Ovis aries: one gene and its partner. The protein of the gene in region 1 purifies or fractionates together with the protein of each later gene. This does not show direct contact. Links are inferred from orthologs where the notes say so. Each region holds a gene or a part of one and is shown in the gene's direction. Other genes may lie near its edges.

What was found. Proteins that work in one complex are often made in the same cells at the same time.
Region 2: the proteins of DYRK1A (region 1) and FAM117B purify together in Homo sapiens (affinity purification with mass spectrometry; 8 studies listed by BioGRID and IntAct, counting the BioPlex papers as one, with this or other methods). This does not show direct contact. The link is inferred for Ovis aries from reciprocal best matches to the Homo sapiens genes DYRK1A and FAM117B.

Annotation. Positions count from the first base shown.
Region 1 is NC_056054.1:270,278,945-270,282,444, forward strand, and holds part of DYRK1A (dual specificity tyrosine-phosphorylation-regulated kinase 1A), read left to right. Parts: intron 1-604; exon of another isoform or gene 605-671; coding exon 672-791; intron 792-2,942; coding exon 2,943-3,131; intron 3,132-3,500. UniProt on the Homo sapiens protein: Dual-specificity kinase which possesses both serine/threonine and tyrosine kinase activities. Exhibits a substrate preference for proline at position P+1 and arginine at position P-3.
Region 2 is NC_056055.1:204,850,230-204,854,305, forward strand, and holds the start of FAM117B (protein FAM117B), read left to right. Parts: upstream 1-1,276; 5' UTR 1,277-1,492; coding exon 1,493-2,093; intron 2,094-4,076.

The DNA of each region.
Region 1 (3,500 bases):
TTTCAGACAGTATGTCTGCTCCTGTTGTAGGCAGAGGGAATACAGCGTTGGTCAGCTATATCTGCCTCATATGGCGTTCTCCCAGTAGGGGAAGGAGGAGAAAAAACTAAAACCAGTAACCCAGTAAACGTATACCAGGATATTAGGTGGTGGCAGGTGCCGTGCAGTGTGGGCAGAGGGAGTGTGGAGGGGGCGTTGGATGTATTAAGGCAGAGGGTGGGTCTCCTTGGTCAGCTCGAAGGCACGAGAGCAGATTTCAGCTGTGCTCCCGGCAGGCGCTGTGTGCCTGTTGTGAACCAGGCCAGGCTGAAGGAACCATTCAGAAGAAATTTTTCCTTAGGCTGATTGTACAGTGGAGAAGCCCTTTGGGGCAGCCTCTGCGTGTCTCCTGGACCAGGGGGATGTCTGTAATCCTCTCGTTGAATTTGGGAAACAAAATTGAAGGCTTCGCAGCTGGGTATATTGTTTGCTAATTTCATTTATTTGTTCCAGTGGTTGTCTTCATTGGATTCCGGTTGAAAGAGATGACCAAGAGAGAATGTTTCATGTGAATGTTTCATGTTCTAATGTGGATGTCTGTTTTGTTTTAAATGCATATGCACAGGTTACAGAAGAGGGAGTTCATGCCAGCACAGCATAGTTAAAGTGCTAGTCTTCTCTGTCTATTTAAGGTGATGCCTGATATTGTCATGTTACAGAGGCGGATGCCCCAAACCTTCCGTGATCCAGCTACTGCTCCCCTGAGAAAACTTTCTGTTGACTTGATCAAAACATATAAGCATATTAATGAGGTAAGAACTGTTGATTTGTTATTACGGTGTCTATCTCGCCATAGAGTGGAGGAAACAAGTTATTTTGTAGTGTGTTTAAACATATTAAAATTACTTTAATTCCCAAGGATTGTCATATCGATGACTATTATGAAGACTGGTAGGTTGGCGGTTTGTAGATAAAAGTGTCATAATTGTGTAAAAGAAAGATGCTATATAAACAAGAATTGTAAAAAGATAATTGTGAGTAACTTCCCTTCTTTTTCAAAGTTATATTTAATACATGCTAAGTTACAATTTCTATAATACCCCTTCTCCAAAACTTCAGAGGAAAGGGAGGGAATAGTGATAATGTAAAAGTATGAAAGTGTTACAGAATTTTGCTTCATTTTTTATGTATCTGTTTCTGCTTTTGCCAGAGATGTCAGGAAGCTCTGATATGTGTTTAATGCTCAGTTAACAGGCGTTTGGCCTAGTTTATCTGATAATATCTATATTTGTGTGGTTTAAAATTTTCTTTTTAATGAGTGTTCTTTTTTATCTGTATCCTTTCACTGTATGATACCTGAAAGCCTTTTTGGTGGGATTAAGTAGCATAAAAAACATAGCACTATGAATTACTTATCTTCCAACGTGACTCTTCACTTTGAGAAATTATTTTTCTGGTGTTTTAGCCCTTTGGCTTGGTATTTGCTCCTAACATCAACTCTAGCTGTATAGTGAGTTAGTAAATGAGCTTTTCTAGAGACGGGTGGCCACACCTGTGCTCTCTTTCCTCTTCCAGTGGGGCCCTACATACTTCCGCATTAAAGACTTATCTTCTACCAGCTTGAGAGCCATTTAAAAAGATGTTCTTATGTGTGTATAAATTTCTTAGCAGTTTGGTGCTGTTTAATGCCAGTATTACTGTGGCAGTGTGGCAAGATAAAATTGAAGTGAACTCAATGAGGAACATTTCTAAGTTGGATTTTGTTTACAATTTATATGTTCTAAAAGATGTTTCAAACTAGTTTTTGGTCATCTGAAAATAATCTGATAAACTAATACTGCTAAGTAGCTTTGTTGAAGCTTGTTTTTAACTGTTACCTTGTAAACTAGTTTTTCTGATAATTGCTTTATAGAGTGTAATTTATCATTTCCTCAAAGTTAGTTACCAATTACTTGAACTATTGCCTCATTAATTACCAACTACTGGGAGAAGGCGATGGCACCCCACTCCAGTACTCCCGCCTGGAAAATCCCATGGACAGAGGAGCCTGACTTCCCTTTCACTTTTCACTTTAATGCATTGGAGAAGGAAATGGCAACCCACTCCAGTGTTCTTGCCTGGAGAATCCCAGGGACGGGGGAACCTGGTGGGCTGCCGTCTATGGGGTCGCACAGAGTCGGACACGACTGAAGTGACTTAGCAGCAGCAGCAGCAGCAGCAGAACTATTGCCTAGTCCACCTGTTATTTTTTACTAGTCTTAGAAACTGTTTTATAAGAAAAACAGATACAAGGAAAATAACCCAGTCTGTGATCAACCACGGCTTCAGTGCCCTTGAGTGTGGGGGGAGGGGGCCTGACTGGTTTTCATTACTTTGTTGTCATAAGCTTAAAGCCGAGCCTGTCTCAGAGGCCCTTCCCATATTAGTAAAATATCAGTTCATACACATTTCACCTTTCATTTCTGAAATCTTTTGCTTTAGGGTCAAATATAAAATTGGGATTGACTAGAAGGGGGCGTGGTTAGCATTTGTTGTTTATATCAGCATATACGTTTTCCCAAAGTTCCTTATATTATACACTCCTAGGGTCTATACCAGCTCACTGTATGTAAATTATACCTTAGTTTTTAAAATAAATGTAAATCAGGTCCTGTTGCTTTTCTTGATGGGAGACTGGCCTACTCACTTAATATTTCCTATTTATAAAACGTATGAACAGTATAATTCTAAAGTGAATTTTTCTGTAGGTGTTTTTCATTTGATATATATTAGAGTTAATCTGTAATTCAAATAGCAACTATAGAAATTTGTTTTTTTTTGTTCCATAGAATAAAAGTTCATCAGTTTCTTACTGTTGGCAGGTTTGTCTCATACGTACTCTTGATATGTATGTATATATATGGTGCCACTCCATGCCTCATGATTTTTAATTACACAGTTAACACTAGATTCTCTCATTTTAGGTTTACTATGCAAAAAAGAAGCGGAGACACCAACAGGGCCAGGGAGACGATTCTAGTCATAAGAAGGAGCGGAAGGTTTACAACGATGGTTATGATGATGATAACTATGATTATATTGTAAAAAACGGAGAAAAGTGGATGGATCGTTACGAAATTGACTCCTTAATAGGCAAAGGTTCCTTTGGACAGGTAATCTAACAAGTTGCTGAATTTTATAAATGAGAACTTCTCCGTGAGTCATGTTACTATAGCCTTTTCTCAGTAGTACACTTCTAATAGTTGTAAGTAGATATAAAGAATGGATATGTAAGTATTTGGGTTATTATAGTTCTCTAAAGTTAGTAAAACTATTATCAGCTGCATCAGCTATAAAAACTCTATTAGACTTTTTGTTTGTTTCACAGAGTTACTATAGCTACCAAGTAGTTATTTTACTAAGTGATTTGAATCACTAACAGATAGTACGGCCTCTTTCATTGGGCTTTTAGTCTCTGGATGGTTCTTCCTGATGTATGCTGGAGATGATTGCCTTCCTGCCTAATCATCCTCCTCAAAAGG
Region 2 (4,076 bases), on another chromosome or scaffold:
CCACAATTGTATGAAGGAGGTGGTATTGTTTAACTGCATTTTACAGATAAAGGAAAGTGGCTGGTGACTTATCCCAGCCACAGAGTATGCTGTGGATCTGGAATATGAATCTCTTTCTTTAGGTCCTCAAAGGCTCTCCACCACAGTGTATAGGACCCAGCAGAATTTCAGGTCCAGAGCAAATCAAACTGGGCCCTCCACTCCCATATTTTTATAGGATGAAATCTGTCTAGAATATTTATCTAATAAAGTACTAAAGGGAAAACAGGTCATGGACAGGGAGTTTATAGCTTGGGAAATGAGTATGTGGGGTATGGGTTCACTTGTTTTTTTATTTTTTTTGTCTTGATGAAGAACCTTTCAGGTTATTTGAGAACTAGTGTTACTGATTTCTTGCCCATTCTACAAAGACCTGTTTTCTCCACTAGACAAAAATATGAATGGCTGTCCACTTCTGTCTCAAATAATGACTGTGAGGATAAAATAGGCCCTTTGAAAACTATGGCACTTAACAAACTTGTAAGGCAGCAATCGTCTTTCCAAGGTATCGGGGAACTCAGAAGTAGTTGATTGAAATAAATTCTTGATTACTTGAGATACAGGAGATGTAGCAATAGCATTTGGTTACTGCACTTCGTTGATACAATCTAAAACGGCATTCTAACCAGCAGTTTTAATCTTTCTAAGATTTGGCTCTCTACAGAGCTTAAAAAAGAGACAAAGTGTAAAATGCCAATAACATTCGTTAAATTTCTTTTCCTTTGAACCCTGTCAAGACGTTGATGGAATTAGGATAGAACAAAAAGATCAAGGGAAAACAAAAGCCAGAAAGAGACTCAGGAACACAGACTGTGCTAGTAAATACCGATTTAAGGAAATGAGTTGGGGGGAAAAGACTTGAGACATCCCTGGGGACCGCTCTGGTTCGGGGGCAATCCCTTTGGCAATATTCCAGAATCTGAGTCCCCAGGGCTCCCCCCAGTGGGAAGGGAAAGATGCGCGTGGCCAGGCGCGCGCGTACGCGTGTACACTCACGTGTACACTCACACGCGCGCGCGCGCACACACTACACATACACACAGCCTGTCTCCTCCGCTCCCCCTCCCCCCGGGGGGGCGGGTCTCTTTCTCTTTAAAGAGCAGACGGTCTCCGCGCAAACCCAGGTTCTCTAAGGCCCCGGGGCCCGGGACCCGAGCTCCTCGCAGCCAATGGGCGCGGTGGAGTGGCTCGAGCGCGGCTGACGCTGCACCAATGGGCGCTCGCGAGGGGCGGGGGCAGCGAAGGAGACACTATTGTTGATGAGGAGGAGCAGCGGCGGCGACGGCTGCACCACCTCGTTGCTGCCGGCCGCGGCCCGGGCGCCCCCAGCACCCCAGACTCCGGCTTCGTCACCCCGTCGCGGAGGCCTTCCCTCCAGCCTCGAGAATCCTCCCCCTGCCTTCTAACAACAAAACCACCCCACGTCTCGCCCAGTCACCGGGGAGGGGGGACCATGTCCCAGCGGGTGAGGCGCAATGGGTCCCCCACGCCGGCCGGCTCCCTCGGGGGCAGTGCGGTCGCCACGGCCGGGGGATCCGGGAGCCGCCTGCAGCCCATGAGGGCGACGGTTCCGTTCCAGCTGAAGCAGCAGCAGCAACATGGCAGCCCCACGCGGAGCAACGGCGGCGGCGGCGGCGGCAACAACAACGGCGGCTGCTGTGGTGGCGCCTCAGGCCCCTCGGGCGGCGGCGGCAGCGGCGGGGCCCCGCGCACCGCCTCGCGCAGCACTAGCCCCACGCGGGGCGGCGGGAGTGCGGCCGCGCGCACCAGCCCCACGGTGGCCACGCAGACGGGCGCGTCCGCGACGTCCACGCGAGGCACTAGCCCCACGCGCGCCGCCGCGCCCGGGGCCCGCGGAAGCCCCCCTCGGCCGCAGCCGCCGCCGCCGCTACTAGGTACCGTGTCGTCGCCCTGCTCGTCGCCCACCCACCTGTGGACTGGAGAGGTGAGCGCGGCCCCACCCCCAGCCCGCGTCCGGCACCGGAGGAGGTCCCCGGAGCACAGCCGAAGCTCCCCGGAGAGGAGGAGCCCGAGCGCCCCGGTTTGCAAAGCTGGTACGTGCTGGGGGCTGCGCGAAGAGGGAAAAGGCAGCGGCGGGAAGGGGTCCGGGGCGCGCGCCGCTACCGCGCGGGGACTGCGGCGATACCGCGGTGCCGGGGTGGCCGTGGGCGGGGCTGGGGGCGGGACCTGGGCGGTGCGGCCCCGCCTTCCCCGGGCCAGCCCCGCGTCCCCTCCGCCGCTCCCGGGCCGCCTCATTCATCCCTCGGTCCGCCTTGAGTTGGTGCTGCTCCGTGGAGGTGCGGCCGCTAACCTTGTGCCTAGGCAGATGTGTTAATGATAAACCTGGGGTTCTGGCCGCCCGCTGGCTATTGCTTACCCTCCCTTGGGAGTGAGGCTGAGTAGTTTGTCACTTTAGTGACGTGGTTAGTGTTAGTATATTACATGTTTGTTGGTAAGCATTTCTCTTTGACAAAACAGTGTCAGATTTGGGGAACTTGAGTGCACTAGCATAGCAGGTTTGGTTGGGTCCCTGAAGAGACGTGAGGCTGGGAGTGTGTTAGCATTTCCTAAGACTAAGTGGGTAGCAAGAAGTGAGAAGTAAGTTAAGCAAGATTCCTGTGGAAGGTTTATGGGCTTTGAGGGTCTGGTATATTTCTGATACACTGATTTTGTGTTTAGGATATAAAACCATTTTTTTAAAGAAAAGAACAAGACCTAAAGGTTTGTCTCCTTGTTATTTTAGAGACCTAAAAATTGTTTTTCTCTGGACCTGGGAGCTTTTTTTGGAAAGGTCCAGAATGGAGCTGTTGAATTCCTCAGGAGTCATTCATAAAGAGAAATTCAGATTGTAGAAACTGAAAGAAATAATATTTATCATCTGATTGTCTTTGTAGAACCTCCTGAAAAGAGGAATATGTGGTTTCTAGCTTGTGTTTTAATACTGCCAGTATCTACCGTTGTCTTACCCTGTTTGAGAAACTTGTTAGAATTTTTAGGCAGAATGGCTGGTAATTTCAGGAAACTTAGTACTGTACTTCCTAACCAAATAAAAATGATAATGAAATGGTTTCAAGGGTTCATTCAGAATTGGAGGGAATGGGATGAATCTTTTCTACCATTTATTTTATCAAAGATTTTAGATGGTGGATACTTTGAGGGGAGAGTATTGTCCTGAAAAATGATTGATACTGTTTTCTGACTAAAACAAGAGTACTGTTTTAAACCTTTCAAACATGCAAAATGCTTTTTTCTAAACTTTGTTGAAGAAAAAAATCCCTCCTCCTCAAATAATAGCTCTTATTTATTGAGCTCCTACTTACTCTGAGTGACTTACCTCCTGGTTCTTTCTTTAACTCTCACAGGAGATTTTGGAGAGCAAGCAGTGGAGTGGATTTTTGAACTCTGAAGAGTGGTACTCCAAAACCATGTCTTTTACATTGTATCAAGGAGGAAGCTTCATGGTGTGTGAGATAGTACTGGGGAAATATGTAGCACACCAAAAATGACATGTGCTTAGTTTCCCAAGCAACTCTTAGAGATATCTGGTGAACATAATTGATTCAGTTTGCTTTCAGCCTTCTGGAGACGGTATAATGTGGCAGGTGGAAAGAAAGGAGAGCTACTTAGGTAGGCAGTTAAGATGGAGGAAGCAGGTGGTGATCTGATGGTCTGATAACAACATCTGAATACTCTCTCAACTATTTGACCCTTAAAAAGCAGCGACCTGATGAGATCCGGGTTAAATTAAGTATTGGGAATGTGTGGAGGAAGGTGCTCTTTTCTTATCTTTCTAGAAGGGCTCTATTTTCCAGCATCTCAGACTCCTCATATGCCCACTTTTCATGTTTCCCAAAGCTTCTTTCTCTCAGATCTGTCATTTCATAGAGTATTCATGCTGTGAAATTGACTCTTTTCATTAGCCCTCTCCTCCTCCCCTCCAACAAAAACAGAAAAATAAAACCTTTTTCTTCCAATGGAGTGCTCTCACTTGGGTGTGAAAAAGGGATACTGCTTGTTACTGAGTTACATCATCTGAG